Linked DNA regions of Drosophila melanogaster. The protein of the gene in region 1 purifies or fractionates together with the protein of each later gene. This does not show direct contact. Each region holds a gene or a part of one and is shown in the gene's direction. Other genes may lie near its edges. The genes, in order: Ilp7 and Sdr.

Region 1 (10,864 bases):
TTCTCAATTGATATTACAAAAAGAAATATAAATATATACACCGTTTTTTTCTTTTTGTGTACTCATCGCGCTTCCTTTCCTTTTCCGTTTCATTGCGCCCATTTCGTAGCCTACAATTGATATATGTACATATATTTTGACTTGCACCTTTGTGCATATTTTGTTGCTCCTCATTGCCAGTTTTCCGATTTTCCACCGGTTTTATGATGGTGGTGGAAAGGGGGGTTGGGTTGTGCCTTAATCATTTACACCTGGCTGCCGACTGCCTGCCACAAAGGAAAACCGATTCCACTCGAAAGTTGAGGCGCCGCCAAATGAGTTTTAAGCCTAGCAGCTCAATGGAAATATATGCAGAGCCCCAGAAAAAAAAAACGAATGAAGCCCCAAAGAATTCAACCGGATTCAAGGTTCCAAATACTTTAAATATCCATTGCTGGCTGGCTGCTCTAAAAAGTTGATCAAAGTCCCAATGGGGCAAAGAAATCTTAAAGTTCGTAAAGAGCAAAATGTACTCAAAACTATTAGATCGATTTATTATTTTAACTTCGTAATAACCACAGGCATAAGTTAATATCACTTGAATTATCTTTACAATTATATTCCATAACTCGGCGATTAATTTCAGTGCGATTCAATCGAAATATGTACAGATATTCAACCGGAAGCCAGTAGCAACTACTCGAATTTTCCGCCACTTTTTGACCAACGCCACTATCTCATGCACACGCCCATTGCATGGATATATATGCATATAATATATATGCATATATCTTTTTGTCTGTTGGGAATACGGCTAAGCGGCAGCTGGTAAATGGAAATGGGGGCTTTGGTTTTTTTTTTTTGTTTTTTTGGGGGGAACTGGCAAGTGTCTGGTACTCATATCTGGTATCTGGTCAGCATTACGGGTCAGCGCTTCTGACAATTTCCATGCAGAAACAAAAGTAGCTGACATGGCAGCAGATGGCAGAGGAAAAGCCTTCGACCAGTTACAGCAACATAAAACAAAAGTAGTTGTACAAAAAAAAATTGCAAAATAAATATATACAACTTAACTGAAAGCATATATCTATGGTTAGGTTTTCTTTTTGAACTAAAAACTATTCTTGTAAGTTTAAATCTAAGCCTAGTAGCTACCTAAGCCCATGGCTACTGACGAATTCTTCAGACAAAAATCAATCTGTTCCTGATCTTGCACAGACGCAACAGAAGATATTTATTTACGCATTTTCCGCATTTTGTATCTTATTTCAGGTCTCATTCTTTCTATCGTCATATGTGGCACCATTGACGCTGATTTGTTTCCTATATATGGGAATGCTGGCTCGTCTTTGGAAAAGTGCTCCTGGCTGCAAACCTTCCGCAGAGTCACGGTAAGTAAATGTATATCCCAACAAACTCCAACACACGAATATCGCGTATACGCCATGGGTGCGGAAATATTCCTTCCGCTTGTTTCGTTCGTCGTATTTTTTTTTGTAGCTACGCACCTGCTGCCATGATGAATGCCTTTTTATTAGGCTGTGCGTAAAGCTCAGGAGCTTTGGCTCATGCATTTTTTAAGTGGCCAGGTCAACGAGACCGAATCATAAGTAGAAATGTGAGCGATATTCCCGCAGGTTTAGGAAAATGTGAGCGATATTCCCGCAGGTTCAGGAAAATGCGACTAACAAAAAAAAAAGCCCAGTAAAATGACAATTTGTTGTCATATTTCATGCTACAAAACATAAAACTAAAACTTTAAACATTATTTCATTACTTCTAAGGTAAACCTAACATTTTAAATAGCCACAAACAAGTTGCTCAAACTACGCTCCGTGGATAAAGCGAGAAAGTAAAGTTAACTAAGCCACACAGACGTGATCGGGGTCAGCAACCATCAATTTGAAGTTGAACTTGCGGCCACTTTAAACTTTGCGAAAAAAAAAACCTTGCCCCCAAGTTCGGTTTTATCATAAATCGAAAACTATTAAATTGTGCTCACTCTTCGTATGAAATGAATTCAACTTAAATAAAAAATATTATACAAGCATATTTAAACCTTTGCATATTTTGTAAATACATATGTATATAGTAAAATTACTTGTGATATTTTTGAGTCGAACTAATGTAAAGACAACGCTAAGAAATAAAAAAATATCTAAGAAATAGCTAGTTCTTTTGATCTCAGCTTAAGACTAAAAATCAAATGTAAATTGGTTTGAGAAGAAGACACAATATTTGTATTTCGGGTGATTCTTAAGATTAGGAAAAGATTCAAAGAGAGCAGTTTGGAGCACCCAAATACATATATGTACATTGGGTTGCGTTTTAAATTTGAATGGAAATGAACTTGCGACGAGTTCGCAATCCGCACGCAAAGTTCATAAATCACAGCGCGGCCAATGCAAAATTCAGCAACTGAAATGCGGCATAATTTATATGCACTCCAGATATCCAAGTCTATACATATGTGCATTGTACATATATATCCATATTAGTATATAGTATATCTCGCATATATCACTAACTCTCCGATTTCTGTTTGTTCTTGTTGTTTCTTGATTTCAGAAAGGGAAAAAGGCGCGTCACCCGAATGGTTGTTGTTGTCGTATTGGCATTCGCCATCTGTTGGCTGCCCATTCATGTGAGTACAATAAAACACCTGGCATTAAGTGCAAATAATCAAAAATGCAATGCAATGCACAAGGTGCATAGCAAATTTGCCAAAATTTACCAAAACAGTAAACAATCGATTTGTTATATAGCTAATTAAGATTGAACGGCGAACAGCAAATGAACTCATATTCATATACCTATATTGGTAGTTGTTAAAAAAAAAAAAAGAAAAATAGGTCAAGGTCAAGCTTAAATGATTTTGTAAACTTTATTAAAAACTTCTAGGCATTCGAATAGCAAAGTTTCAAATTAAATTCTCAGCCTGCGTTGCAAGAAAATTACAGGGCTCATAATCGATTTATTGTACTTAAAGTTTCAGCCACCAGTTTGAGTATCTTAAATTGGCAATGGGCGGCAACAGCTGCTGGTAAAATTTTGTTGGCAAACACAATGGATGATAGTTGCGATAAATTGACATTTGCGATAGTCCGATATTCTGAGTATTTGCTGAAATGCTTAATAAGCCAGCAGCTGCTGCTCCTTGAGTTGCCAGCACAGCAAAGTGTTTGCACAAAATCAATGTGCTTGCAAATTACAAACGAAATTACAATTACACAGACACTTTGGAGCGCAAGAAATGCGCCAATTGCATCTGTCATATGGCAGCATATGGCAACTAATAATGTAAATGCAGGCAACTCAAATCAAATGATGAACTTAAAATGTTTTAATTTTAAATTTAAATCTATCGCTTAAAGTATGCAACAGCCTAAGTTGTGCCTAATTTACTGAACTTTCGTTGCTTAAATCTGCCTAATGCTCCTTTGCAGGTCATCCTCGTGCTAAAGGCACTGAATCTTTATGGCGGCAGCCACTTATCGGTCATTATTCAGATTATATCCCATGTGGTGGCGTACACGAATTCGTGCATCAATCCGATACTGTATGCCTTTCTATCCGACAACTTTCGCAAGGCATTCCGCAAGGTGGGCAACGCATCCATCCATCAATAAATTTATGATCATTCGGTAATAATGTGATATCGATCAACTTGCAGGTGGTCTGGTGTGGAAGTCCGCCACCTTTGATGACCAATCAACAGGTGACCAAGACAACGCGAACTGCAACCGGAAACGGAACGTCCAATATTGAAATGCTCTAAGCGGGTATGTACATACATACATACATCATACATACATATATGCATACATATGTATGATCTTACACTCCATTGAATATTTCAATTGAATTTACCCATAATATTTAACTATTAATTATCTTATTATTATATTATCTTATGCTTGCAGCTCTTGAAAGTAAACTAATTGAGATGGTCACAACATTTTTGAAGGCGACTTACAAACTCGAAACAGAAAATATGAATTTAAAACTGACAAAGAAAACATAAAAACGCGGCGCATATAAGTTAACTATAGTGTATATATAGTAAACAATGTATGTCTATGAGGAGAATATAATTTTCCGAATTATGAAATGTGATTGTTTTGATAGTTTAAAATGTGTACGCATTATTTCACTAAGAATAAGACAACCGAAAAGGTATATTATAAACACGCATATATTCTATGTTAAATTTTAATACGATTGGTTTCTTTTTAAACATTGAGCGCCGTGTAAGTTGCATTTGTGGCCTAGAACTTAAGTATTTAACATAATAAAATTTAATTTTTCCAAAATAATAAAAAAAAAAGAAAAAATAAGAAAGTTAAAGCTTAAAACTCAATTGTTTACATTTTGCACCTGAAATATTGAAAATGGCAAACAAAATCTGCAACAGATATGCTGTAAATTTCCTGAGACAGAAATCGATGAGAGTTGACACACTAATTAATGATTAGAATTGATAAGCAGTGGGATTTCTTAAACAATTTGTAGATTTTCGTGTTATAAGCAAGTCATATGTCATTTAGCCACTAAGCGTTTAATAATATAAAATCAATTAAAATTAATTAACAGAAAAGACAGAAAAGAAAAGTTATTACAGATTTACATGACCATATTGAGAAGATTAGATTTAACAATAAAACATTTGGAATTTTTTCTGTTTGTCCATTGAAAAAAAAATATTTTGTTTGACAGATAAGCACAAAGATAGAAGAAATTGATCTAGCACGTAAGAAAGTTTTTTTTTTTATTACCAGAGCTGTAATTTAAGATGCAGGTAAATGTTTTAGATTCGAGGTCTAATAAAATTATTACTAACTAATTTCTCGTACTAGCGAAGCTCAATTTCATAAAAAATTATACTTTTCGTTATGCAAATTTAATTAATCATTAAATAGATCAAATAAGTACAATGCTTTCATTCGCATAAATTATAGAAACATTCCATTTCCTACTCCAATTATTATTAATTCACAAATTAGCCAATTGTTGACCATGTGAAGTTGGTAAACGTTTAAGTTAATCATGTAAATTACACGTATATATAGATAAAACAATTTATAAACATTTTGACTATTATATAAGTGACATTATTAAAACATTTATATTGCTTTGTTGACTTTTCCTTTTGCATGGCTTCGGCCTTGCCGAATTTAAATGTGGCACAAAAAAAAAAAGATATACGAAAATGGGAGTAGGTGTTGCTAGTGAAAAATCACTTTAAATCTGAACAATGGAACATAAAATATTAGAAACAAAAAAAACAAATTTTTCTTTAATAAATTTCTAGATTAGTTTACTCGATTTTTATGCAGGCAATTGAGATTGCACACATATACTATTAAATCAATTAGAAACACATGCTCCCATTTCAGTATGCTACTGTATTTGACATATAAAACTATTGTAACTACAATATATATAAGCATATGTATAGCAACATAAATGCGTATATATAAATGTATTCTACTGCATTCCTAGCACAGTTGTGGAATTGAACAATATTTGAATTTAGAAAGAAAACAACCGCGAACAAATGGCAAAATTGAACAAAAGAAAAGTTTAAATATTCTAGTATAAGCGTAACATAAAAATAGTTTTTTTGTGTACCCTGTAGGGTATTCGCTAGCCGCCTATTCTCGCGAAAATTGAAACAAAACTAGTGTATAAAAAAAAAACGCATTACGAAATGTACTCATCATTTTACCATTTCAGTTATTATGAAAAGCGAAACTTATTGTATTTGTATATGAATGTATATGTACAATAAACATTTGTTCATTGTGTTAAATAAAAATTGATGACTCTGTGTACACAATATAAATAATATTTTATTTATTGGCATGCCAGTGGTTTTCACTTCTATTTGCATTAAGTTTAAATCGATTGATTTAAAACTTGTAAGCATTGAAGTTCAATAAAAAAAGAGACAACTGTTTACAATAGTGTTAAGTGCCAGGCAAATAAATTCAGCTTTAGTTTCATCCACTATTTGTTTACTCATCGATTCCAAATGACACGGTTTATTTTTGTCAAACGTAAATATTTGGCTTTGAAACCAATAAATCCTGCGCGTTTAATAAACTTAAGCTTATTACTATTATTATTATTTTAACACATTCAAGATTTATTAAAAAGTTCAGTTCGAAAGCACTTACAAAAAAAAAAAAAATTCTGGAAAATAAGGCTTCCAAAAGGCAACCAAACACCGGCAGTGTCATCCAAGAACTAAACTCGAATAGCAAGCCAAGGAGGAAGGACCTCCACTTGGAGCTGTTGGAGCATTGTGTGCAGAAAAGGTGCATCATAAATTCACACGGAACGTGTAAACAGCGACATTATTTAGCTAAGCTATTGTCTCATGTGGGCGGCTTTTCTTATGCATACTCGCACAGTGGGCTCAAAGAAAATCAACTTCATAATTTAAAAAAAAAATCTTAAGATGTATAATTGGTTGGTTAGAGTAACATACCTATTTATTAATCCCAATGATTGCCACATATTAACATATTACATATTTTTTTTATATTTTCCCGCTTTTAGCCCACTGTTTCGCCCACAGTATTGAAATTCGTGCAAATATTGCAAAATTTATGCCAGCTTCGAAATAAAAACAAGTGCCCGGCATTCCGGCTCGTTTTACGAGGCAAACAGCGTAACTTGCCCGATTTTATGTTGTTTTGTTAGCCAAGCAACAGGTTGCAGGTGGAAAATCGGCAGGTGAAACCAACCAACCACATGTATGTAGAGAAGTGCCTCCAATTTGCTGCCCAATGGAACCGCAGATAAACAAGGCAATAAGCGGACAACGGGCCGCATACGCAATTGCTGCCGTAGCTCTTCATTAGATTGGATTGTATTGGATTGGATTGGATTGGCCGGTTGTGAAAGAGGTCCTGACCCGGTCCTGGGCCTCATTACTTCAAATAGAGCGCTGACCAAACGATTTAATTATACCGCCGACGCCCGACAGTTGGCCGCCACTCAGGTGGAGACCGGGTTCGGTTATATTTCAAAACCTGACAACACACCGACCAGAGCGCTCAGTCGGCACGCATCCGCCGTGTGAGCCGCATCAGGATCAGCATTCCTTCGATAGCCTTCGAGCACAATTCGAGCACAAGAACTAACCAATATGACCAGAATGATAATACAAAACTCGGGCAGCTGGACACTTTGCGGAGCTGTACTCCTGTTCGTCCTGCCGCTGATACCCACGCCGGAGGCACTGCAGCACACCGAGGAGGGTCTCGAGATGCTTTTCCGCGAGCGGTGAGTTGTCAACTCCATTGACATCGAACCGTTCCGATGTCTATGTCTCCATCTTTTAGTTCCCAATCGGACTGGGAGAACGTGTGGCACCAGGAGACGCACTCCCGCTGCCGTGACAAGCTGGTCCGCCAGCTATATTGGGCCTGCGAGAAGGACATTTACCGACTGACACGGCGCAACAAAAAGAGGACGGGCAATGATGAGGCTTGGATCAAGAAGACAACCACGGAACGTAAGTTGTTGAATCGAAATCCATTCCAACCAAAGACGATTGGAATTTCAAGCGATGTACACATGTACATCTATGCTATAGATCCATTGATATCGATATGATACCACCTGCTGTCTTTCCAGCTGATGGCTCCACCTGGCTGCACGTGAACTATGCCAACATGTTTCTGCGAAGTCGTCGATCGGATGGAAACACTCCATCGATATCGAACGAATGCTGCACCAAGGCGGGCTGCACCTGGGAGGAATACGCCGAGTATTGTCCATCCAACAAGCGACGCAATCACTACTGATTGGCCATCGACGTTGGATCTGCTTAGATATATATATATATATACGAACAAACAAATATATATTCGCTTTTTTTTTCGTGGTTGTTGTTGTTGATGTTCTTGTTGTGGTCAAATAAAATAAACAAAAGGTTTCGGTTAAATAAAAAGAAACTTTACTGGCTTTAACTACAAATTTCGCATAATAAAAGCTAGATTTGCATGATATAACAAATTATATTAATCAATCAATGTTATACAAATTTAACAGTAAAATTGTCTTTGCAGATTAGAATAGTATAATTAAAAAAAAAAAAAAAATTTCACTTTATTCGACTTACAATGATCCTACTTTAAAATGCCCTAAATATGTCCTTAAAGTTATCTACAATACATTTTATACCTCTTCAATTTTGGGGGCAGTAACAATCCTGTAGTGCAATATCACCTAGTCAACAATATCGTCCTTTTCGTCCTTGTCGGTCACATCGATCTCCTTACGACTCTTTGCTGAACCCTCAGCCTTGCTGCAGTTGGGTGATTTTCGTGGCCTCTTCGAGGCCGAACCCTTTTCATAATGGGTGTCCAGCATCTCGAGCAGGCTCAACTGGCGGCCACCTGAACCCATTGATTTCGTGGCTGTACTGCTCGTTTTGGACGTTGTGCTGCTGTTGCTTATTTCTACGCTGCTTTTAGCCTCCAGACTAGCGGCCTCCATCATGGCATTGGCCTCCTCATCGTCCGACAGCATAAGAAGGGCCTGATCTTCCGAAGAATTTGAGTTATCTTGCGATAATTGCGCGGGCAATAGATCGGTACTTTGTTGCGTTATGGTGATTTGCGGTCGGGCGGGTTGCTTGTTGAGTTCTGGCGAGGATTTCGCTGATGTTTCTGATTTTCCTTCGCCTAATCCAGCTACTCTAGAGCTTCCAGCTTCGGCGGATGCTCCCTCTCCGGGCACATCTCTGACCTTCTTAAGTTCCTCTTTAATAAAATCATATAGCTTCTTTTTGGATGCCTTATTCTCACGCGGCTCCTTGGAGCTCTTCTCCTTAATAAGCCTACTGTACGACCTTAAAATACTCCAAAGCTGCTGCACCGTAGTCCCGTCATTTCGAAACAACAGCCACATTTCATGAAAATCATCCCTAAACTCCACATTTCCAAAGGTATAGTAGGCCAAAGGTCTGCCCAACTGGGCGCAGACCATAAGTTGCAGCAGGGCTTTCAGATAGGAGTCACCGCCGAATGCGCCGCAACCCCAGTTACCAGTTGCCACACCCGGTGGCGGCGTCACCATCCAGTGAACAAATCCAATGTACGCCTTGTTCAGCTCCCTTTCCATGAGATCCTCGCGATATTGATGATGTGACTGGGCAAAATGTAGGGCATCGATTGCCACAATGGCCGTTTGTCGACGACCTGAGCTATCTCTTGGCGTTGAATCCTCAAAGTTGCCGGACCACTCGAAGCTTCCGGCATATCCCGTATAGTTACTATACCTTTCGGCGCCCAACATCACCAGGGCCTCGAATGGTCGCAGACACTCCGTAAAGAGTTTACCCACCAATAGCTCCGGACAGATAACAAAGCGTATCTCCTCCTGAACGCAGCCATGTCCCAAGACACCGCCACCCAAATATTTGTTGGCAAAGTCTACTTGCAGCAGTCCAATGCCCTCATCCTCGATTGTTCCCTCGGCATCCACGTGCAATGGCACATCACCCAACGGCGCCGCACTTTGGCTCCAGTCGATCAGATGTTCCGGCAATCCGCTCCGACGAACAAAGGTTACCACACCGGTGGGCACATTGCTGGCATCCCGCTCTGTGGGACACACGCGACGAAAATAGTGCATAATGCATTTAAGCTTCTCCAGAACTGCCGGTCCCGTCGATTGGTAAAGCCTTTTGATGGAATCGAATATATTTAACATACTTCGACTGAAGATATACGAATCTGGTGGACGCTCACCTGTTAAAGTTGATGTCTGGAAAAGTGCTGTACTCGGACTTCCTCTTGAGGGTGTTTCTCCGGGGAAAGGTGCACAGGAAGGCATTGGCCAACAGGCAGGAGATCTGCTGTTGGCTCAGGCTCAATGAGGCGTTCTTGTGGTGCTTGAGCAGCGGAACTGGCGATTGAATCAAGTCCGGTAGCCGCAATGCCAATCGGATAATGCGCGGCAATAGATCCTCGAAGAAAACCCGTGTTTCGCTCTCGTCCAGTTCCTCGTCGAGAAGTTGATGAAGGGCACGAAAGTGCCACTGATCCCTATAGGTGGTATTATATGATATTATCGCCGCCTGCAGTTCCTCACACGTCTTTATGGGCTGCAGAAGGGCTCGTTCGATCATTTCCCAGCGAAAATCGATGGTGGTGCTGCCATCCGGATTCTCCCTCGGATATTTCGACTCGGGCGCACAGGGCAGACGCACATGCTCGGAGTCCCACTTTCCCGGTGATTTGTAGGGGCGTGGCGGTGTTTCACGAATTGGCAGCTGGTACATAACCCGGTGGAGATTGCCGGCAGTCACTGGTGGCAAATTCTCCAATTCGAAAGGCTGCCGATTACGATGTATAGCCTCCATGGAAACTCCACGCCACGAATCATCTAGGGAGTTCGCCAGATTTTCCGGCTCCTCCTCCGTTTCTATTTCGGAAATCCCGCCATCCGGCGACTTCGACATCCTGGCGCAGTTTAAGCACAAAGCCTTGCCGAGTCGATTGGTCAGCACGGATGCACTTGCTCTGCGGCGATTTGCCGTAGATTGGTAAACCTTTTGGAATATCGGAAAAATCAAGTGTGACCTGAATTCTTGCATACCGGTGTTTTGGGGATGAGCGATAGCTGTGATGAATATCGCACTTTATAAATACCACACACTTCGATTGAAGCGTAGTGAATTGAAGCGTTTATATATCGAAATATATTCAAATATATGTTGGTATTCGTTTGAGAATGAATCAATAACAAATTCAAAATTGCATTGCCTTGAATTCGGCGGGCGAAAGTGTGACCATTACATGTGGTATTTTACCTCTCATTGTCGCTAGTATTTAAATACCAGCACGAGAAATACCAACACTGTGTC
Region 2 (13,936 bases), on another chromosome or scaffold:
ACTCTGTAAAATATTTTACACTCATTCCTTGGCGCAAAATTCCACAGCGTCACGCAGCAGTGAAAATGCCAGAGATTCATTCAGCTCACCCTTTCCTTTTGTTCATTATTAATTTTCTTTGATAGCCAAATTTCTGCGGGTGACCGAGGCTATAAAAAATAATGATTGCAACTTCCTGGCCAAAACGGAAGGGCAAAATTCCAGGCTGCAGGCGCCAATAAATTAAGCTTTATGCGTGGCTAATAGAAAAAAAAAAAGAAATGGGCAGCCACCTGAGTGCGGCGCACATATGCAAATTGTTGTGGCACTTGCACACACACACACACACACTGGCATTCAAGAATACATAAATTACGTGCTTAAGCAACAAAGGGAGAATGGCAGAAAAAGTTGCATAAAAATGTGTAAAAAATACACTATTTTTAAAACGATTTGCATTGCATGAAAGGAACGCATAAAATGGAGCTAGCAACGGGGATGGCGGCCAACGGGCTCTATATGCTCTATATTGAAATAAAAATGGAGAAATTGTGAAATGCAAGGAGGCACATGCCAGCTGCGTCGGTGTGCGACTTTTTAGCATAAACTTGAAGATCTGTGCGACGACAGGGCGTATGCGTAATGCAAGTGGCACAAAGGTTGCCCATATCCTTGTTACTAAGGGCACTTTCCGTCCTGACTTTCTGCCAGCCAACCTTTCGGCTTTATGAGGTGAGCCGTAAAATATGAAACGCTTTTGAGCAGATGCCTTAAAAATGGCAAAGGCTAACAATGGAAAAATCTGATTAAGAGTGAAGTTTATGCGCAATGGAGTGGTTTGAAAAATCAAGGCTCTTTTACAGTGTACAATGTACAATTTTCATTGCTCATTGCAATGGAAATATTACAAGAAATATGAATTTGTATTACAATATATATACCCTTTAATTTACTTGCATTCTTATGCAATAGAATGCTGGCTTTAATTTGAAAACTTTCTAATTGAAGTGCTATCGAATTTAAAAGACACACTCTTAGGCACTCATTTTTAATTTTAATTGGACTCCATTTAACGCAATTTGGTTGAACAAGACTTGTTAGCAGTTTGATTGAGATTGAAAGCTTTTTAAATTTGATTGAATTGAGGCTTGCGGAATGCACGTGCAAATGAAGAGCATTGCAATTTTATGAAGTGTGGCAAAGAAAGTAAAGTAATAGTTTTACCAAATTAAAAATGGATTTCAGTTTGTGTGTTTTATACTTGCTCGCCTCTTAAATGGATTATGTAATTTTTGATGACTACTTATGAAGTAACATTGTTTGCACTCGAATGTTTTTATTGTTCGTTATCCCAAAGGTAAAGGGAAACTCCAGTGCACTTGCTGTGTGGTCTGTTTTGGCCAACTTCTTGGACGTCTTAGTGTAGTTTTCAAGCAGATTGCTGTGTCATGTGTCCAATTGCATCAGCCAGCCGGGTTGAATATCCTGTCAGCTGCTGCGAGGTGCCACATCAATCAGGATGCAAGTGCTCCAACTGAGCGGAAAGGACTCGAGAATCCCGGGAAGAAAGGCTGATGGAACAGCTGCTGCCATTGTCTATTTGCCGGATTGCATTTTTCAGCAAACTTAATTAATTCTCCGGCTCGAGCTGTAGAGTTCGTAATAACAGCAATCATAATGGTAATGGGTCATGATGAGACAGCAGGCAGGCAGGCAGTAGCTCATTGAATTGGCAGGGCCATAAATTGCATCGACCGCTTGATTTATGGCCAACAGCCATGTGCAAGCCGCCCAAGGCCTCCTCCTAATTTGGCACTTAAATGCAGGGACGTGCGTGGGCCGCCTACTCACGGGTTGACTTATGTCCAAGTTTTCCCGTTTCCACTCTCCCATCCCTTGACTCTTCCCACTGTATTCCCGATTTTCTCAGCTTTTCCCGCTTTTCCCGGGTAGGCATATGCACACGTCCTCGCTAGCGATTCCCATCACGCGCCGCAAAATGGTGTTACGTGTTTGCCGCCTCGGATACTCTGGTGACTGGAGTCCACCGCATCATTGCCATCTTGCAACTCCCGTGCGAATTAAGTGAGTCAGAGATGGTGCTCTGCTCAAAAAAGCCATTCTAATTTCCTGCTGGCTTAAGAAAACTTTCATTTTATTATTGGAATAATTATGAAAACATATTCACTACAAAATAAAATGGTTTCGCAGTTGTAGAGCATTTTTATTAAATACTAGCTAGCTACTTCATCATCGCTGGAGGGCTGTTGTCAGTTCCCGCTGCCCCTTTGGTTGCCCCTTTCAAACGGCGCCTGTGTGCTGCTGGCATATTCAATAATTGGCGCCCCTGGTTATGGGGGCTTCCGTGGTGAGGGGTGGTAGTGGGCGCTGGTGGGGATGCTCATAGTTTGACGTGCCGCCGGAAAGGATGCTGCATTAAATTCCGCGCGTTTCACATCAGCGCAGGCTCTGCAAATTACTGCGAAAATTGATTCACAGGCGGGTGGCGGGAAAACGGAGAAAAAGAGCACATCAGCTAACGAAAAAATCATTGATAGTTATGCCTGTGTGGTTTTTTCACACGTTTACTGCGATTTTTTATGTGGGTGCAGCTGGTGATTTTGCGTGAATTTGTGCATTTTGCACTCGTTAAAAAAAGATACAGTTTATGGCAGTTTTGTTTTTAGAAATAGAAGTTGGCTTTAAGCATATTTAAAGCTAAAAATAACGTTTTATGATAAATAATAATAATAAATTACTGCCTATATTGACCATTGATGATGGTTTTATCAATTATTAACTAATTTTGAATGGATTATCGCGACGGTAACATAAATTATTATGTTTAAAATAATTTTTGGAATAGATATAATAACTAAATAATTATCCTGGGGTGAATTAGGCAGATTTTATCCGCTGTTACATATGTAATGATATATTCAAAGTACTACACTAAAGATATACCCTATAATAACAAAGTGAAAATTTGAAATTATTTCGTGCGTTTTTATGTGGTTTGCCCATTAAAATATCTAAAACAACGGGGCACAATTTTGCGCAAATTATTTATAGATTTCTATTGCTATTGTATTTAACACATAAATATATTATCTATTTTTTTGTTATTGAACAATCATTCAAGCTGCGTATTCAATTGGCATCTGACTAAATTTAGAAAATTCTTTTTCCGATTCCATTGAGCGTTACTTGCACCTTAATGAACTGCCAATTGCGCGTTGTTCAATGCTCACTACTCTACCAATTGGATTGGAGCTTTGGTTCACCCCCTCCCACCATTTTCGCTCTTATTTTCACTGTTTTTTTGCATTCACTCTAATTGAATTGTTCGCCGGTGCAATTTAATTTCTGCGCAAATGCAAAAACAAAAGGCAAAGACATGCACTCTGGGGAAAAAGGTAAAGAACGCCGGTAGGTGGCTAAGGGGAAGGTAGCTAAGGAGGAAGGGGGAAGAGGATCCAACCGGTTTGCAAATGGTTGCAAGGTCACATGGGGAGTGGGGGCGTGGCAAGGGGCTGTGGCGGTTGCAGAAGTAACAAGTGTTTTTCGGCTGACGGCAACAAGGAAACGACAATGAGAAAAACGTGAAAGGTAACAGATGCGTAAAATAATCGCTCCCCAACAAAATGAAACAGTGGCGTGCCAAGAATTTCAAAAAGGGTTTCCAGTTTTTGAATTTCATTTGTAGCTCCACAAATCGATCTATCAAAAACCGTAAAAGATCATACGAATTATCATGGTACTCTTAATCTTAATTTTAAGTTTCGTATATCACTTTTTTAATTGACTGCAAAAGGGCATTAGGGGGTTTAAATTTGATTGAGAAAACTAGAAACAAACAAATAGCAAGACCGGCAAGTATATTATTTTACGATATTGTTTTACGAAATGTTTACTTTCATTAACGTAAATATTACCAGACTGCTCCCCATCGAATCATCAGTCTTCTTCTCTCACAACAGCCACCACCTTTGATTTTCATTCTTGAGCAGTTTTTATACACCGAGTCGAAAAAATAGTTCTGGTTTTTGAAGATATTTAGATATTTATATTAGAATTGGCTCTATCAAACAATATGCTAAATATTTTATTATTGTAATAATTTTGGAAATCTGCTTAAAAGATATTTTGCTTAAGAAAAAGGTTACTAAATATGTTCGCTTTGCATACATTTTTAGGTTCTTATAAATGTCGACAAATTTGAATAGTTTTATGAACACTACACGATTTTCCGCTGGTGTAGCCGAAGGGTTTAGAGAACGAAGACGAGCGCATAAAAAAGAAATAACAGTGTGAAACAAAACCAAACAAAACAAAACAAAGTGAATGCCGAAAGAAGAGGCTAATTAAAGAGATCGAAAGCACAGAACGCTGTTCGAATCGAATGCCATCAGTCCAAATCGAATCGTTGCCGCGAACGCAGCTCTCTTCAAAAGCGGAAAAAATATTTAAAAAAATATATAGTTCAACCGATCGATCGTGCGAGAAAAACGACATTGACATTCAAGCGGGCGCGCTAATTGATCCATTGGAAGCCCCCTTAACGCCCGGGTCAAGTGCTCTCAATTGGAAGTGTCAGGTGGCAGCATGGGGCATCTGCACCCCGTTCCCAACCCCCTTCCGATCCCCATCTCGATCGCAGTTCCGTTGATACTGCTGTTTTTGGGCGCCTCATCGCCGGTTTTGGCCAGTTCCGATGATCAAACCGCCTGCGGATCGTTGGAGATAAATAAGATTGCGGACCTGCGGAAACTGCAGAACTGTACTCATGTGGTGGGTCACGTTCGACTGGCCTATGTGGATCTGACGGATGTATCCGGCAACTACAGCCTGGATTCGCTGGCCAGCAATGTGACCGAGATCAGTGACTACCTAATGGTGTATCGCTGCACGGGTCTGATCAGCCTGCAGTCGATATTCCCACGGCTGCGTATCATTCGTGGGCAGGAGCTCCTCTTTGATCAGTACTCCCTGGTGGTCTACGAGAATCGCAATCTCAGGGAGCTCGGCCTGGTGGAGTTATTGCGCATCCAGAGCGGATTCATTCGCGTCGAATCGAATCCCTTGCTGTGCTTCGTGGAAACCGTCGATTGGATATATCTAATGGGCAATGCCACTCGGCAGCACTTTTCCCTTAAAGTGAGTGAAGATATACTTGGGCATATGTTCCTTGATATTAAGCAAATATTGGATAAATAACTTTTTTATTAACCATAGCACAACAGACCGCAAAGTCAGTGCCCTTTGTGTGGTAGCCTGTCAGCGGACTTCGAGTTCATCCGGAACTCCTCGGAGCGCTGCTGGAACGTGAATACGACACAACTTCGCCCCCAACCGCCCAGACTTAAGGACTGCCCCATTGCATGTGGCCTAAACGGATGTGATAGTGCGGGCAAATGTTGTGATCACAACTGTGTAACTGGTTGCTATTCCCAAAACTGCTCCCTTTGTGCAAACTACCAGGGAAGAATGGGATGTGTCAATCAGTGTGTCGCCAGCTATGAATTAAACAAGAGGAGGTGCATCGGTCACAGGGAGTGCCGGGAATTGGGAAGGATTCCCCTGATACGCGGCTATCAGTGTGTGAAAAAGTGTCCGGGAAACCAGAAAGAGATTTTGGTCGCCAAGGGCATCATCCACTGCCAGGTGGAGTGCAACGGCGATTTTCACGTGAAGAGTGCTGCCGACCTGGAAGTTTTACAAGACTGTGTGACGATCAATGGTTCACTTACCATCGAACTCACCAATATTAAAGGTGTGTTTCATATCATATATGATATCTGTATAATTTACTTACATAATACATTTTCCAGAAAAAATTGTAGATGCCTTGGAAAATGCGTTGGCCAGTGTTAAAGAGATCACTGGGTATCTGAAGGTCATACACTCTGCACAGCTGATGTCGCTCACATTTCTTCAGAATTTGGATGCCATAAGAGGGGATAAGCTGGTGGAAAACAAGTTAGTTTGAGAGGCAAGGATTGTATTGAAATTCTAATAATATTATTTATCTCATTTTCAGATACGCCCTGTATGTAGTGAATAACTACCATTTGGAGCACATTTGGCCACCCAATCACCTGGTGATCATTCAGCGCGGTACACTATTCTTTCACCTGAATCCCCGCCTGTGCTACGAGAAAATCCATCAGCTACAGGGCTCCCTGAAAAGCGGAGAGAATATATCCGTGGCAGATGTATCCCCCAATTCGAACGGCGAACGCGTGATTTGTGGCGACGCGGTGCGCTCCCTCAATCCCAAAGTGGAGGACCTAAATTCCACTGCGGTACGCATCATCCTGGACTACATGGACTGGGAGGGTATGGAAACGCTAATAGGATATTCGTATCACTACAAGGAAGCCCCGGTGCAAAACGTGACTATGTACGATGGTCGGCATGGTTGCGGTCATGACAAGTGGGTGTGGACTCCTCGCCCTCACCAAGTTTACCTACAGTGATTCTGTTTATAATTTTCCAGCTGGCTGATGGACGTTGTGCCCAACCAGAGTCGACGTCATGTGATAAGCGGTCTGAAGCCCTACACACAGTATGCGTATTTCGTGAAGACCCTCACCAGAACCGAATATCATATTCAGATAGATGCCTACTCAAAAATCGGCTACTTCCAGACGCTACCGGATAGGCCAAGTCCTGTGCTCCGAATATATGGCAGTTCGGAAATCAGTTCCCAGATTGTAAGTACTTTTCAAAATATATCTCTCAGCTTAAAAACTTGTTCATTTCCAGCTTCTTCACTGGTGGCCACCGAGGCGTCCAAATGGAGTCATTAAAAATTATTTTGTGACCGCCGAAAAGTACAATGCTACCAAGGAAGCAAAGGACAAAAATTATGTGAATGTTGAGTTGGAAAATGCTAAAGACATCGATTGTGAGTGCGCTGGTGTACTGCCCTACTATTCAGGTCCTCAGCCAGATGACGAGGATTACTACAACAAAGAGCAAATCACCTACGAGGATGCGTTGCCCAATCTCATTTATGTTTCGTAAGACAAGAAAATATGGTTTTCTTTGAAGTTTCAATTGAAATAATATACAATATTATACCATCTATAGGCGCAATCACGACTATCGCAGAAAGGAGTTCGAAAAAGTGATTAACTATGAGCACCTGTTGTCCATAAAGAAGGATGAAGAGCCCACCAGACCGCCCACAACCACTCCTGCTCCTACAAATGCAACATTGGCTAAGGAGAGATTGGCCGCAATTAACTATGAGAATTATCGCCTGAATAGCGAGAAGAAGCAGCGGGATCTTCAGGACTTGGACCAGCACAAGTATACCATCCGACATGCCTTGCCCAAGTGCCAAAACTCCCACGCATCCGTGGTCCAGCAAGTGGAGGAAAAATGCGTGGCTGAGGAGCCCTTGAGTGGCTACGAACTTCCGGGCACCCAGCACTTTTACTGCCTCTCCCAGTTGGAGCCGGAAACCCATTACCGGATCACCATACGGGCTTGCGTCGAGGGCGTGGTCAACGGATGCTCAACTCCGGCGGAAGCTGTAATCAAGACTGCAAGCATCCAACTGGAGCGATTCATCAAGGGTGTTTAGCAGAGAATCCTCGATCGCAGACTTTCTGTATCCGCTGACAAGTGATAAATGCTAGACCCATATGACGATAGGCATGTTGAAAACTTGATGCAATATCAACCTAAATCAACGTGTTTAACATTTACTATATCTGTATTTATTGTTCTAAAAAACTTGACATAGAAGGACCGCTGGACCTCTTATTTTTCCAGACTATATATGTCGTAGTTTTACTATTTGGAATTAATTTTTTTTTTTAATATTTTTCGGTTTTTAACTTTGATTATAATTAGACTGAACAGCTTTAATGCTTTTTACTTGAATCAATTGTTAAAATGTAATGTAATGTGTAAGCCGTGTCATATGGGCCCAACTAAGTATTGTAAGTCAAGTGACTGTAGTTCCTCCAAATGTATTGTAAATGTGTAAATGCCAAACAAATCCTCGACAAGCGAGCAAATGTTTTCATCAGTGCTAATTTGACTTATCAGCTTATCAGACTTAGCCGCACGTCCTTGCAATGTGTGCCAGAGCCAGAAACCGTTCAAAGGGAAAAACCCTCACTGACAGCAGTGATTCCTGAGATCCTCAACTTGGCCCGGAAAGCGGTTACCTTTCTCTCGAGATTGGCCATGGCATAAGCCTAGGCGAAACTAACAACAGCAGGCTGCCTGGAACTTCCAACGCATGCCACTTAATATGCAAATATGCCGCAAAAGAGCTTTAAACTTTAAAACACTGACAAAAACTAGAACTAATCCCCACCATCGAAAACTGGGCGGAAAGGGACTAGGTCGAGACGATGCTTTTGCTTTCGGTGTGGAGTGGAGTCAAGTCGAGTACGTGTCATGTGTCGCCTTGTTTGTGGCCAAGTTTTCGGCGCAGCTGGAAAAGTTCCATGAAAACGTGTCCCACTCAATGGGGAAAAGCGGTTCGTGATTGACGCAGGACTAAGTATGAGCGGCGAGGGGTGAGCGGGATGCGGGAAGCTAAGGACGCTCAGAGTGCCTGCAGAGGAAAAGGATTTCAATTCTGCCGCTGACACTGACGCGCAATTTAACTACCTTAGAGGTCGCGAGTGAAGTACTCCAAAGGGGGTAACTTGGCGACTATCCCTTCGCGTACTTTGGAAGCTTCACTGCAAGAAACTCACTAGCACAAATTTAGGTCATATATAATATACTGCAATTGAAAGCCAATCAATAAAAGGTATAACATTTCATTGTCTACAATAAAATTCCCTTTAAAAATACTCAAGTTTATCATATTTGTTAGTCTAAGCTAGAGTTTCTTTTTAGTGAGCTAATACCCGCTGGCAAACCTTATTCAACCTACTGAGTGTAACTAATCTCTTTTTCAATTTTTGATGTAGCCATTTAAATCAACTGGCTGGACTTAAAGCAAAATGCTGGGCAGCTGGAAACCACTTATGCCACATCCTTTGGCGCCGTCTTTAAGTGGAGGAAGGAAGAGATATGGGGCTGTGTGTGATCTTATCCTAAACCAATTGTATTTCAATATTTCACTGTCCCCTCCTCTTCGCCCTTTGCTGTTGCACCATTTTTCGCGTTATTTCCGTTGCCATAGACGCAGTTGTAGTAGCAGCTGTAGCTGTGGTTGCAAACGTAGTCCTTGCCGTGTAGCCTCGTTATCCTTGCACTCGTTTGTTATCTATGCACTTGCCGGGCCAAGCACTTTGGGTGCGGTTCGTCGATGTCAGTGCGTCAGTTTAGCAGTTCCTCCGTCCGCCCGTTGGTCCGCCCGTCCGTCCGTCAGTCAGGCAGGCAGGCGGACAATAAAACTGAGTGCACCGCAACTCGGACTAGTGCTGTTCAATTGGAGTTTATTTAATATATGTTTATCAATTTTATTTTTAGTCCGAAAATATGTTACATACCTGACATTTGTTTTTGACCTATTAAATTGCTATAGAAATCGATACTTAAAACTACCAGTGCGATACTAAGTATTGCATGGATGGTACAGAATATGCTTACTTGCTTTTGACTTAGCCATATTTGGCTTATAACCCGCTATGTGGGCAGCTTTGCCAATCCATATGTGTGCGCTCCTCGATTGTCCTTGCCCCAACTGGAGAAACGAAAGTGTCGGCATCACCTTCACCATCGGCGCATTAAACTCTGGGTTTTCGAATTTGGATTTGGTACGGGTCGGCATGCGAGTTCTGGGTTAGTGCATTCAGTCTGGGAACGGTAATGGTAATGATGTGCACTAGTTTGGACCTGAGACATTGATATATACTGAACACCATCAGAGCTTGTGCGAGTGTGTGTGTGTTACTATAAATGCAAGTAGTTGCCAGTACTAAGGGAAACCAATTGAATAAAGATAGAAAATTTAAATTTAAAAATCAATAATATATAAAATTGTATATGAAATATTTTTAATAAGTAACTAAGTATATACTACACGTTAAACGTTAAACATTTTAAATATTTTATCATTGAAAATCCCCCAAATCCAGTTACCAAACTTGCGCATACATTAAATTCTAGGCCACCGAAAAGGTCAAGTCCTTCTTCCTGCGACAAATTTAAAGAGCTTTGGATAATCCCCGACCTACTAAGCCCCGATTCCCCCCCAAAAACACAACTGTACCCCATCTTCAGGTCAGCAGTTCGTCAGCTTCGAAATGCGCGACTCGCACACACAATTGTCCTTTTCAATGACCATTGCCATTGCTTTGTTATCCTGTCGTTTTGTCTGGCTTTAGTCACATTACAAATCCAATTGCCAATGCGAGATAAATGCGCCCGGATAATATGAACTGGCATGTGTGGGAAACGGTCACTTAGTCCACAAGGACATGTACTAAGTGACAGCCGGAGGGAAAGTGCTCGGGGGGATGAGGATGAGGGCGTAGATGGAAAGCAGCTGATTTTAATTTTAGTTAAATCAAAATGTGCTGAGGCAGGAGCCAAGTTTATTGGGCAGGACCAGCTCAACTCAAAGGACCGCCATCCGACACGTCTGGACTCTTAGTTGGTTGGCTGCAATGCGTTGGGTCATCCATTTTACTCTTCCACTGAAAGAAACACAATAATATTGTCGATATGAAGTTCATATTTATATAAATTAATATAGAAATACTATCTGCTTGTTCAGAGTAAATACAAAATGTTCACCTTATAAAAATTGTTGGTCTGTAATTGAGTGAGTGATACAATTTTGTGGCCTGCTTCATAATAAACCCATTTTGGGAATCCTACGAGTAAACAGTTTTTTCCGTACCATATGTCCTATATTTGTAGGTCGAGAGAACTTAATTGCAACTGGGGCTTTAGCTTTGCGTGGCTTTTGGCCTGACATGTGTTTGCTTTGCTTGTGATCCATAAATAATGAAAAGCGCTGAAAATAGTTTTTACTCAGGCACTAAACTCTCACGCTGAATAAAAAGTCGAGCATGAAAACAATCAGAGGTCAGATAAGTAGTTAGTTTTCCACTTAATTGTCCTGGAAATAATTTAGCCCCGCCAAGGATTTGTCCATTAAACGTGAATAATTTACCACACCAATGCATTGAGTTGATGATTTGAGTAGCCTCGTGTGTGTGACATAAGTGAAATCAATTTGACGATTTATTTAGAGCTATTATTTCGTAGGCAATAACTACAGGTTCTCTGGCTTTTCTATCCGTCGGGTTCACCGGCGTCTAACAATGAACAGTCATTGCTCCACTTTTTGCGCTAAACGATTTCGTGGAACGGGACATGACAAGTGGAAATTATGAATGGGAAAATCTAGGCCCCAAGCTTTAGGTGATTGAATGGATTTCTGCGTTGACAAGGAGCTGATCGAGTGGATCAACGTCTAGACTGCCTAAATTATGAAGTCTATATATAGGATACAAATAAGCATCGAAAAGTGTGTTTACTTACGTAAGCAGTAATCATGTTACCTCCTTCAACAAACACAAATAGGTCTCCTTTCAATTTTCAAACAACCATACCCTTGTTTGTTTTTCATCCTTTTCAAAAGCCGTTGCAAAAACTTTGCTTTGTTTAACGCGCGTTCAATATTGAAAATTACACCTTAATTAAGTGCTATGCACGCATTGCAAATGTCAATAAACCGCTTAGCCCAAAAACCAATATCCTTTTGCACTTGTCGCAGTTTCCCCTCCTCGTCCACCTACCCACACCTGTGCTAGTGTCTGTCTGCAAATATGAACAAAACAGTTTCAATTGTTGTTGCGGCGTCATATTTGTCAGCCATTTGCGAATGTTTCCACTCGTACCCCCACTTCCGTTTCCGCCCACTCCGTTCGGTTTTTGTTCCATTTCCGTTATGGCAGGACGCATTCATTTTGGCGTCATCAAGGTTTCATGATGCGCTGGCAAAACGTGTCATCGGCACAACGATTCGTTCTGCCTGACAGTTGACAACTCTATCAAAAAGGTAAACTGATGGACCGAAAGGGGCTAGGATGGATTTTCCCGGGTGGCCACTGGAATGTGCGAATGGCAAGAGGAACAGGAACCCATGTCGAAGCTGCTCAATAAAATGTCATTCAACGCTGCTATACGTGACAGTGGCGGTACAGTAAATACAGGTGAGGATAAGCTAATGATGCAATAGTTTCAGTAGTTGACTTAAAGTTTATGTTCTTTAAAATAAGTAAATAATAAATGTGAATATTAATAAAGAGAATCTTTTAGTTACTGTTCAGTTACTGGAATATAATTGTATTCAACATATATTTGAGCTATTTGTATGAACGAAAAGACATATTTATTAAACTACAATAATATATTTGAAATTGTTAGAAGTCGCTGTTTAGGCATCCCACTGTTCCCTGAATGCGCGTGTGTTTTTGCGATTGGATGATGGCAGGGCGTAATTGGCTTGTAATTGAAAACTTTGCGGATAATTAATTGCTGAAAGCTGCCTGACGACATTTATATGGTTTAAGTTGTGTTTTGTCCTTGTCATTTGCTGGTATTCCCTTCAGCTCCCTTACCCATCCTTCTACGCTTCCTTTGAGCTCCCTTGGCTGCAATTGTAACTTAATTAGTTGATTTTTTTCTCTATGAGAGGAAAGCTTTTAAGAGTTGAACGAGTGAAAGTTATATTTAATCTTTGAAGGGCATATTCGTTTGCTTACTAGGTATATGAAATGTACTTTAACATAATTTAACCAGATACTTGTTACTTATAGGGTAAGTGGGTATAATATTCTTAGGAAATGATGTAGCAGGTAGAAAGCTGCCATGATATATATATATTGGCAAGTTAGTCCTAACCGAGTAACGGGTATTTGATAGTCGTGCAGCAAGCCTAGTGTTTGTTTAATTTGCCTTTGCCGCCTTTGTTTCAATCAAAGAAATATTGAGCCTTTGTTGATGGCTTTATGGAAAATCCAGGGCGTTTCCAGCATTAGTTTGGCCTCACTCTAGAAAGTCCATTTGTCAAAAGTTAATGCCATCTGCATAAAATTAATGCATATTTAAGCATCCGCCATTGACACTGCCTTTTCGACAATCGAGTTGTTGGGCTTTCGTGCTAATGAATTCTTAATACATTTAATAACACATTTCAAATGGCGCCTCATCGAGGGGAGTCCTAGGTCGTTAGCACCGAGACGCAAGTAATTTGTCTGCTCGATCGATTCACTTAGTCCACCCTCATCCACAACTTCATCCTCCTTCCATATGTTGCTGGCTCATCAGCAAACGGACATACATTGGCCTGGACTATAAACAAAGTTCTTAATTTCCGCGCCACATAAAACTTATCTTCATTTGCTGGCCACTTCTTCACTTCCTGGGCCCTCGATTCCCTGCGTTCTTGGGTCATAAAAATCACAACATAAGCTAAAAACTTTATGCTGAATGCAAACTGGCAAATGGCAAACGCAAGTTTCCTTTCCACTTTTTGGCCAATGCATTTCGACCCGGCATTTTACAGTGGGAACAAAATTTAACATTGTAAAGGTATTTAATGTCATACATAATTAAGCTCCTTTCTTAACATTAAATAAATATTCATCAATATACTTGCTTACAAACTATAAAAATTTATTTGAGTTTTTTATAAATTAATAAATTGATCGATAAACTTAGAAAAAATTAAAGTAATTTTAATCAATTGAGACACACAGTGCCAAGATTGTTGTCCTTCTAAAGCAAGTTGCAAGCAAAAGTTTTGTGGCTGAGGTCCAATGCAGAAATATGTAGTCGAAAGGAGCGAACCTGAGGGTCGGAGTACTGGACCAGGAACTGGTGGCTTCTTGGAAGGCTGCTGCTGATGTTGTTGCATTATCTTAATGTTCATTAGGTTAAGTTTTTGTGCATTTCCTAGCTGGATTCTGGCTGCTGTGGTGCAACTGCTCATTTGTGCCCCAATCTCCCGTCGACATCCGGC

Evidence for each region.
Region 2: the proteins of Ilp7 (region 1) and Sdr purify together in Drosophila melanogaster (affinity purification with western blotting, with the first as the bait; one study listed by BioGRID). This does not show direct contact.

The regions. Positions count from the first base shown.
Region 1 is NC_004354.4:3,660,909-3,671,772, forward strand, and holds Ilp7 (Insulin-like peptide 7), read left to right. Parts: upstream 1-6,712; 5' UTR 6,713-7,135; coding exon 7,136-7,272; intron 7,273-7,331; coding exon 7,332-7,504; intron 7,505-7,626; coding exon 7,627-7,796; 3' UTR 7,797-7,937; downstream 7,938-10,864. Other genes in the region: AstA-R1 (allatostatin A receptor 1), read left to right, coding at 1,252-1,370, 2,548-2,623, 3,426-3,581, 3,653-3,757; Parg (Poly(ADP-ribose) glycohydrolase), read right to left, coding at 8,221-9,679, 9,747-10,459. UniProt on the Drosophila melanogaster protein: Possible ligand of InR/insulin-like receptor.
Region 2 is NT_033777.3:14,914,294-14,928,229, forward strand, and holds Sdr (secreted decoy of InR), read left to right. Parts: upstream 1-4,334; 5' UTR 4,335-4,584; coding exon 4,585-5,136; intron 5,137-5,214; coding exon 5,215-5,752; intron 5,753-5,810; coding exon 5,811-5,958; intron 5,959-6,019; coding exon 6,020-6,415; intron 6,416-6,478; coding exon 6,479-6,695; intron 6,696-6,747; coding exon 6,748-7,004; intron 7,005-7,074; coding exon 7,075-7,573; 3' UTR 7,574-8,790; downstream 8,791-13,936.